2 linked regions of the Schizosaccharomyces pombe genome follow. Changing the gene in region 1 together with any one later gene gives a genetic interaction. Each region holds a gene or a part of one and is shown in the gene's direction. Other genes may lie near its edges.

Evidence for each region.
Region 2: mutations in kap114 (region 1) and ptn1 together harm fitness more than expected from each alone (negative genetic interaction), as found in Schizosaccharomyces pombe (one large-scale study listed by BioGRID).

The regions. Positions count from the first base shown.
Region 1 is NC_003424.3:2,372,541-2,378,475, reverse strand, and holds kap114 (karyopherin/importin beta family nuclear import signal receptor Kap14), read left to right. Parts: upstream 1-1,923; 5' UTR 1,924-2,090; coding exon 2,091-2,196; intron 2,197-2,252; coding exon 2,253-4,474; intron 4,475-4,514; coding exon 4,515-4,684; intron 4,685-4,705; exon of another isoform or gene 4,706-4,731; coding exon 4,732-4,850; exon of another isoform or gene 4,851-4,892; coding exon 4,893-5,063; exon of another isoform or gene 5,064-5,099; coding exon 5,100-5,173; exon of another isoform or gene 5,174-5,212; coding exon 5,213-5,332; 3' UTR 5,333-5,424; downstream 5,425-5,935. Other genes in the region: ppa3 (protein phosphatase type 2A), read right to left, coding at 20-711, 824-894, 961-1,121. UniProt on the Schizosaccharomyces pombe protein: Required for nuclear protein import and mediates docking of import substrate to distinct nucleoporins. Serves a receptor for nuclear localization signals. Mediates the nuclear import of TATA-binding protein (TBP) and of histones H2A and H2B.
Region 2 is NC_003423.3:3,159,752-3,163,617, forward strand, and holds ptn1 (phosphatidylinositol-3,4,5-trisphosphate3-phosphatase Ptn1), read left to right. Parts: upstream 1-1,977; 5' UTR 1,978-2,071; coding exon 2,072-3,118; 3' UTR 3,119-3,190; downstream 3,191-3,866. Other genes in the region: SPOM_SPBC609.01 (Dis3-like exonuclease family protein), read left to right, coding at 1-1,461; iqw1 (WD repeat-containing protein), read left to right, coding at 3,421-3,481, 3,527-3,620, 3,667-3,866. UniProt on the Schizosaccharomyces pombe protein: Acts as a phosphoinositide 3-phosphatase and regulates PtdIns(3,4,5)P3 levels.

The DNA.
Region 1 (5,935 bases):
TTTGTCAATTCAGGTCCAGCTAAAGGAAATATTCCGCTGTCACTTTTGCAGCTGGCTCCACAAAAGGCGTTTCTTGATTAGGAGCTGCATCAAAAACATTAAAAAATCTTGATTGATCTGTGTCGATCTGAAGGATGCTAGCCAAGTTGGCACATCTGTAACAGTAATTTGGGGCAGACCACACTGTCGATAATTTTTTTTCAAACAATATTTGATAACCTTCGCTGCATAGTTGATGAGCTCGTAAGATGTGCTTCATATTGTTGTATTCTAGAAATTTTGTTACAATAACTTCACCGAAAGAAAAACCTGCACCACGGGGCGAAAGTGAAAATTCTTGCACGCTAGGATCCGGATCCGACCACACGAGATCGGCCATAGGTCCCTCGTGTGGGAATTCTCTAAACCTGTCTAAGACAAGGATTTGATCTATGTGCTGAATACTAGGAGAAAGTCCACCATGAACACAAAAAATAGTGTCATCAATTGTTGCAGAAAGTGTTAGGAAATCAAAGATATCGGTAAAATATTTCCAAACATTAGCATTACCGTATTTTCTTAAGCATTCTGAATAAAATCCATAGGTTTGGGTTATTCCTCTGGACTCATGGTTTCCGCGCAAAAGAGTAATCCTCTTTGGATACCGTAACTTGAGACATATCAAAAGGGTTATAGTTTCTATACTATAATAGCCCCGATCAACATAATCACCTTCAAATAGTTAGCAACGAATAATAAAGCATGTGCTGTGTTCTCAATGTTCAGTTTTAATGATTTGTAGTAATCAGCTAATGTGATTCTAATGAACATCATTTTAACTTACCGAGAAAAAGATAGTTTGTGTATGGGCATGGGCCTCCTATACGAAAGATTTCAAGTAGATCATCAAATTGGCTATATACTTTGTAAGCAGAATGTCCACAAAGAATGAACTTTTTGCAATATTGAATCTATGCATACCCATGAATATCACCAACCACGGTAATGGGAGTAGACAACCTGACAACATTGCTTTCTTGCATTAAAACTTCCTTTGCGAGAGAACAAAGATAAGCAATAACGGACTCAGCAATCAATTGTTTTTCATATAATCTCTCTATTATGTTATCGAGGTCAATCATCTTTAGGAATTTCCGTGAAACTAGTGAGATTTATTAAAATACAAAAACAATGTCTTGCACCGTTTTGTATTGGATATATATAATTTAAGAAGACACAAACAGTGCTTGGCTAGGGAAAATTTCACCCAAGGTTTGTATCAGTCTAATCGGCTTTGACCGGATACGCTTCGAAAAACAAAGGATTAAGCACTTCTTATATGGAAAGCTTACGCGTTACTTCTCTTTATTTGCACGCATTAGAAAAATTCCACTAAAATGTTGTATGTGTCAGTTTTATGAAATTTGGAGGTTGGTTTCTGACTTGTCAGTGATCGAAACTACACGATTAATACATAATACTGTGTAGTTCGCCAATGAGATTTTAAGTTAAGAAAGCCTCTAATGGTATACCCAAAGAACAAAAATTACATAATGCTTGAAAAACGTGTTAAAATTCTTTCAGACATTCTATATGAATATCTGTCTCTTCTGCTGAAAAGGTTTAGTGCTTCTCTCGTTTCAGACCATCAGATAAATATTTCGGTTGAAAATAAGCGATAATTGATTAGGTATATTCTTGTATTCAAAGATCAGTCGGTCATTAAAAAACTCAGTTATGCAATACATTAAAATATAAGGAAAATCAAGAATGAAAATAGTAATAGTTACATGGCCTTTCTTTTTAATTTTTTTTTTAAATGAACAACAATACAAGCAATTATTGTTTCAATTAACACTATTTTGTTAGACATTAGCAATTTAAGTGACAATGTCACCTATTTACCATCCACTTCTTTGAACATGAATTTCCTAGTAACATTTCACTCTTAGTAGTACCTGCATTATACCTGCATAAAAAATTATTAAATACAGCCATTTTTAAGGGGTTAACTATACCCGTCTGTACATAAATATATTTATTATTATCTACTTTCTTTAAGCAGATAGCATCAAAACCTACCAATTGTTTAACGTCTATTATCACGCTAAATGGTTGAAAGCAAAATCATTAAGCTGCTTGAACAAGTGCAATCTGCTGATCCTAATTCAAGAATACAAGCCGAATTGGGGTTACGAGACCTTGAGAAATATCACGGTATGCTACTTAAGCTATAAACTAACCGAAAAAATTACTAACTATCTTTTACGAAGATTTTGCTGCGAAGTTAACAGATATCGCATCTTCTGGTGCTTCTGTTCCTTTAAGACAAGGTTCTCTCATTTATTTACAAAGATATATTGTTCACCATTGGTCTCCACTGTTTGAGCAATTTCAAGATGGACCGATACCCGATGAAAATGTCAAAAAACATGTCAGAGAAACACTATTACATCTTTTAGTGAGCCTTGACAATTTCACTTTAATCAAGGCTGTGGCATATGCTGTTTCTCTAATTGCAAACGTGGATTATCCCGATGAATGGCCAGAAGTTGTACCGGCCGTTCTGCATCTTTTACAATCTACTAATGAAAACTCTATTAATGCTTCACTGGATGTTCTGGACGAGCTTGTAGATGAGTCCCTTGTTGAAGAACAGTTCTTTATTATTGCACCTCAACTTGCATCCATTCTCTATCAGTTTATATTTTCCGCTCCCCCTAATGATTCCATGAGGATGTTGCAAGCTAGAGGAATTAAACTGTTTCGTTCTTGCCTAGAACTTATTGAGATTTATAAAGAAACGAAAGCTGAACATGTTCGTGTATTTCTTGAACAAATACTTCCCCCTTGGATGGATATGTTCTCGCACAAGTTTGAAGTTTCCCTCGTTGATGATCGACAAGTTATTTTACCTGATTCCTGTGGTTATTTTTGTATCATGGGAGAAATTGCTATGACTCTTACAAAACTTCGCGAATTGTTTCCTTCTAAATTGACACCGTACGTTGTGACCTTCGTCGAACTTGTTTGGAATATTATAGAAAAGTTACTAGATCCATATATACGAGAAGTTGTTTTTAGCGATGGTTTAGATGATTCAGCATTTGGTGATAAATACCCTATTCGTTATTTAGTTGAACTACTGCTATTCGTTTCTGTAGCTTTGCAAAGCAAGTTTGTTCAAAACTTGTTTGTCAGTAATACGGTCCCCGTACCTCCTTTACCTCCTTGCATTCCACTTCTGGTGCAATATACGCAACTACCTAAGCATCAAATTGAAGTATATGAAAGCGATGTCAGTGAATATATCGCAAACGAATTTTCTATGGATTTTGCTAGTGATACGGTTCGCGGTGCCGCCATCAGCGTACTAAGTGCATTTGAAGAGCATACCACTTTACCAATCCAGCAAAGTCTACGAGAAATGTCCGCGACTTACATATTAAACAATGAAATCAATTGGATATATCAAGAAGCCCTCTTGTATGCATGTTGTTCCGTGGATGCTGCTTCAGATGACACTTATGATGATTACTTGGACCCCATATACGAGGCTATCAAAGTCCGTATTGATTACTCCGATGCTCCAATTTTACTTCTTTCTAGGTTTTTCCTCTTTATCGGATATTTCTCTGAAAGCACCGTAGTAGCCTCTCAATTTTTCCAAATAATAATGAATAATTTGGTTAATGCTTTACAAGTTGATACTGTACAGTATGCTGCTATGAAAGCTATTGAGCGCTTTTGTTCAGTCGGAAAAGTCAAACCGATACTTTCTTTGCAGCCGATGATTTTGGAAGTTCTTTCTCAGTATGCTTCGAAGTCAAGCGATGAAGCTCTTGTATTACTTGTGGAAGCTATTTCTTCTGCGGTAAAACTTGATTGTGCAAAGGCTGCTGAATTAGGTAATTCTGTTATTCCACTTCTATTTAATTTGGTTGCTACGAACGCTTCTGATCCTTACATCTGTGGAATTATTGAAGACACCTTTGAGGACATTATCCATGCGGCAAATAACTATGAAAGTATGTGTGAAATTACTTTGCCAGAACTATTACAGGTCCTGAATCAAGAAGACCCGATTATGGTTAATATTGGGGCTACCTTGCTTTCTTGTTTGATTCGTGCAGGTCCTTCACCACTTCCTAATGGATTTGTTGGATATGTCTTGCCCCCTGTTTATAAGATTACTCAAATTCATTCTGGAGACACAGAACTGCTTCAGTTATCTCAGGAAATTCTTAAGGGGCTTTTGGAAAAGGACACACCACAATTATTGGAAACGGAGATTTCAGGTAGTAGTGGCTTTCAATACATTCTTTTTATTTTGCATCAGTTACTTGACAAAGAGAGTGATGATTCCGCCTGCTTTTTAGTTGGGCCTATCTTACTTGAATTGGCTGATCACGCAAGTCAAATGGTCGATCTTCAGTCCATTCTTCTTTCTTGCATTAAGAGATTGGCAATAGCTGAACAACCACGGTTTATTCAAGTAAGTTCTTATTGAATACCTGTTTCTGACTTTTATTTAGAGTATAATTTACGTTTTTGCCAAATTAATTGTTAAGGACTCTTTGGGAATGATGCACTTCTTGACATCGTCTTTATTAAATGAACAAGGGCTAACGGCTTTTGAAGTACTTATGACCGTTTGGTGTGACAACTTTGTTTATTTTAGCAACTTCAAAAACATTTCTATAATGTATGTCCTTATATTATTTGATGCTTATATAAATTCTAACCTGAAAGTTGTATTGCTATGACTAAAATTTATTCTTTTGACAGTCCTCTACTTGATTCAGTTCAAGTTAAAGGTGAACTTATCTCTCATTCTAATCGCATTATAACCCGGTCGCAGTCTAAACTTCGTATGTTAAAAGCTTTTGATAGTTTTCATTAACCAAAACTAGATCCCGAGGAATATTCATATGTAAGCGTTGGAGAAAAAATATTGCGACTACTTTCAGAGGAATTTGTTTCGTTGTCTAAAGATGCAATTGTTGAAGAAGTTTCCGATGATGGAGCGGATGATTGGGATGACGGTCCTATCAGTGCAGAGACGTTTGGGCTATCAGCTAATGGTACGCGAGACCTTTAAAAGAAAAGGCTAACAATAGATGTTAACGAATTGTCCAAAGATGAATTTTCTGGCGTAGACAATTCAGAAGATGAGGATAATACTGATTTGCAGGTGGGTTAAAGTTTTGGTTTTTAGGGCTAACATTTTTAGTTTTATCTTCTAGAGTTTTTTAAGGAAGCTATGAAAAGCAATCTGCACAATATCAACGAGGTTGTTTTTAGACTACCTCAGGAAGAACAGGATGCGCTCGTTCAAATTAAAGAAAAATAAAGGTGTAAAGGATTTAAAAAATCAAGAATACCTGAACGATTTCCAATAGTTTACTTGCACTATAACATTTACTAATATCATGTGCATTAAAAGGAAAGTAGGGTAAAATTATACCTTTCAGAGTACTTAAGGCTCTAGGTATAAGGTCAAAAGGATTATTTAAGCTGAAAGGGACTAAAGTATATGAAGAATAAAGTTGGTAAATTAATTCTTTCAAAAGATACATTTTTTAAATTAAAATAAACAGACAAACTTAGTTCATTATAAACATAAAAACAAGGTTATATAATACCAATAATTACCATTTTATTGGAGAGAGTATGATGGTAATTATTAACAAAGTGCAGATAAACGAGCATGAAATAAGGTCTTATCTGGAGATTAATATGGCACAAGTAAATGAGCATTTCAATATGAAAATAATTAAGACTGAAAAAGAACAAAATTAGGTAAATCGGCATTAAAATATGCCACCGTATATCTATGCAAAAATTCAAGAAACACCAGGTCAGCAAGCTACCGAAAGGTAAAAGTCACAAAAAGGAACGGGATTATTTCGTAAAATCAAGGGAATCCATAGTCAAAAGAAAACTAAAAACAAAG
Region 2 (3,866 bases), on another chromosome or scaffold:
CCCTTTTTACCGAAAAAGGTCTCAGAAGAGATTTCCCTTATAGAGGGACATGATTGTTTAACAATTAGTATAGTTGTACAGCTTGATTTGAAAAGCGGCGCTGTTTTACAGTGTTCCCTTGGGCCCTCTGTAATCCACCCGTCAAGTTTTATTAGTTTAGAAAGTGCACAAGCAAACTTGCAAACCAACGAAGCGCTTCAGCTAGTTGATGCATCGGCCCATGTCCTTACCAAACTAAGATTGAAAACAGATAAGAAACTTGACTTACAATCCTTATACTGCTTTGAATTTTGCGATGGGCAGATTCCTAATATACAGAATATTAACATGAGTATTTTTGAGGCATTCCCTATTGCATGTTCTTTACAACAAATTGAACATTGGGTAAACGAGAAAGTTGCATCTCATTTAATGTCTGTTTTTCCCAGTAAAGTGATTTTGCGAAAAAATCAAAGACCTTCTGACTTTGCATCTCTTGTTGCAGTTTCTGAGTTAACCGGAGTGAATTTATCTGCTTCATCTACTCCTTCGGAAATCATGACCGAAATTGCAACTACCAAGGATAAGAGAACCAAAATGTTACTACAATTGACTCTAAGAAGAATGTGTAATGAATCTGAATACACTATCGGTACTTCAAATGCTAAGGATGTTTCGCATTTTGTGTTCTCTTGTCCTTACTACACCCATTTTTGTCACCCTACTCGTAGATATATCGATATATGTGTACAGAGACAATTACGCGAAGCCTTTGATGGCAGACCAGACTTTTCCAAAGACTACAGAAGTTTACTTTCTATAACTCAGTCTTGTAACACACTGAGCAACTTCTACCGTAATGCCCAGGAAAAAAGTCTACATGCATATTTATGTCAACTTCTCCATTCTATTAATTTACGATCTGGGCTCGTTAAGCATAAGGCTTTTGTTTTGGCTGTTGACCAGGAGTATATTGACATAGTCATATACGAATTTGGCTTGGAAAGAAGGATCTCCTTGGATCTGCTACCGCTTAGTAACTGCGACTTTAATGAGCAAAAACACGAACTCTATTTATCATGGAGGACAAATGCTTCTTTCTTTTATGCTTCATCTTCTTTGGAAATTGATACACCTTGTTTCAATGACTTTAAGAAAAAATTTTTGGATTCCAACGGGATGTGCAAACAAATATGCGATATGATGGATGCACAGGTTCGGGATTTAGCTAACGCTGCTGAGTCCCAGGAGTCTTTCTATTCAAAGGCTCGAGGCAATGACAGTACTAGTAAAACAGCTAAAAGTTCCTCTGGCAATCAGGATATTTCCGGAGATGGAAAACTTCATAGTTTACGTATGAAAGAGCCTGAGGTTGTTCAAACCATCCGTCCAGGCCAAGAGGTTAGTGTACTTATATTTGCTGATACTTCCGCTACTTACTCACTCTCGTTAATTACTTTACAAAGTCCTCTATCCAGTTAATCTTCAATAACTGGTGATCTTCGCTAATGTGTATGCCTCACGATTTATTTTTAATGTATGATTAATTGCATATGTCTAACGTTATATACTTCTACCACTTATTTCTTTTTACCTAAACGTTTTGGATTTATTTTAGAGGATTCGAATAATCGCATGGGTTTGTTTGTTTTTTGGTGGACTTAAATGTTTTTAAGGATTTTTATCAAAATATTTTAATGCTTATTTACGGTTCATGTCTTACGATTGTATTTCTTATTGGCTTTTTTTATTCATTTTTCTCATTTTTTTTTTTTTATTTCTTTATTATTTTTTTTTACTAGTAATACTTTTGCATCGTTTAAAGGGAAAAGTTATGCCCTTATGTTTTTTTCAATAAAATGGATTATCAAATCATTGCTATCAAAATATATAAATAATTAAAAGTAAATTAGTTATTTATTCACGTCACTATGGTTGATACCTACCCGCTTAAAGTTCATTACTAAAATCTTTATTGTATTTCTCTTATTTTCTTCTGAACAGTGCAGCTTACCTCATATTTCAACAGTCAACGGCATCTGCAGTATTATCCTAGTATATTACAAATAACTAATTAAACATGTAATTTTCCATGAATATACTTCGATCAGTAGTTTCGAGGGGTCGAAAAGGCCTCAAACAAGAAAAAGTGAATCGTAGCTTTGCTTACTTAGATATGGTTTATATTACTTCCAAGGTAATTGCTATGTCTACACCGGCTGCTGGAATACATAAGTTATATCGAAACGACGAATTGGATGTATTTAAATATCTTACAACGCAATTGAAAGACAACTGGATATTGTTGAATTTATGTGCCGAAGAAACAGTTTACCATTTGGAATTATTTAAACCAAATGTCATAAATTATGGATTTCAAGATCATAATCCACCTCCGCTTCTCTTTTTATGGGCTATTGTTATGAATATGGATGCACTCTTTCAAACGCAACCTTTGTTGACATTGGTAGTTCATTGTAAGGCCGGAAAAGGACGTACAGGAACTGTAATATGTAGCTACTTGGTAGCTTTCGGAGGCTTGACAGCCAAGCAAAGTCTTGAACTATATACTGAAAAAAGAATGGTTCGAGGGCACGGTCTTACCATTTCATCGCAAATACGTTACGTCTATTATATCGAAATTTTAAAACAGTTCCCGAATTATTTGAAAGCTGTGGAATTTAATACTGGTACCACTTTTTTTAAAAGTTTTAAATGTTTGAATATTAAAAAAAATTCATCTTTGATTCTATCATTGCATGCCTTCTCTAAGGGACGAAACATAAATCCAGTTGCTCTGTGGAAGAGTTCAGATATATCATCCCATAATGTAAGCATAAAAGAAGGAAAACGTATATGGGGGATACAATGCAACCTAGAAACATCGGAGAAAGACCTTTTGCTCAGAGTCGAACGCAAGGGCCAGTTTTACTTTCCTTCGAGTGTGCAATGTTGGTTTCATACTCACTTTCAACCTATGCTTGTGGAATACACAAACGGGATAAATTTTCAACAAGGTATAAATTCCTTTCTGCAAGGACAACAGTCAATTTCGTTCTCCTGGTCTGAAATGGATAATAGCCGACGAAGTGACCCCTTTTTCGAACAACTGACAATTGTATATGAAAATGTTTTTTGATATTTTGTAAATATTATATTAGTGTAAAATAAAATGATTATTTGTGCAATTAGATCCTCCTTTCGATCATCGAAATAAACTCACATGTTGAAGTGTTTCTACTTCAGTAAATTACAGAGGCGCTTCAAGTTTTTTTTTTAAATTTTAAAAAAAACATAGGAGTTTGAGTTTAAGGCTTATACTCTAAGATTCGAGTTTGCAGTTACGATTTATGGTATTAACTCATCGTGGCTACATTACCGACATCCACTTGAATTGAGCTTGTCTTCCACCAACGCTTGTTAATCGCTGAATTGACTCTCATGTCTGGGATATCACTATCCTTGCGTCAATTGGATTATAGAGATTGGTTTCAGCGAAAAAGTATGCTCTTGTTTTGTTTTTGAATGATGCTAACTAGTTTATTAGTCAGTCGAGATATCTACGGCAATTCGACTTGGTTGACCGGTATAGATTTGCAGAAAGAATTAACTGGTCATACGGGATGTGTTAATACACTAGAGTAAGTGTTTTATAACAATTTGTTCTACAATGCTTACAATTTTCAGCTGGTCCGCGGACGGTGAATTCTTGTTATCAGGAAGTGATGATACAAGACTAATTGTCTGGGATGTTTTCAATGAATACAAGCCACGGCATTTAATATCTACTGGCCATGTTCAAAATATCTTCAGTGCGAAATTTGTCCCATATTCTAATAACCGGCAAATATTGTCTGCTAGTGGTGATAAGCTTATTAAGTTGTTTG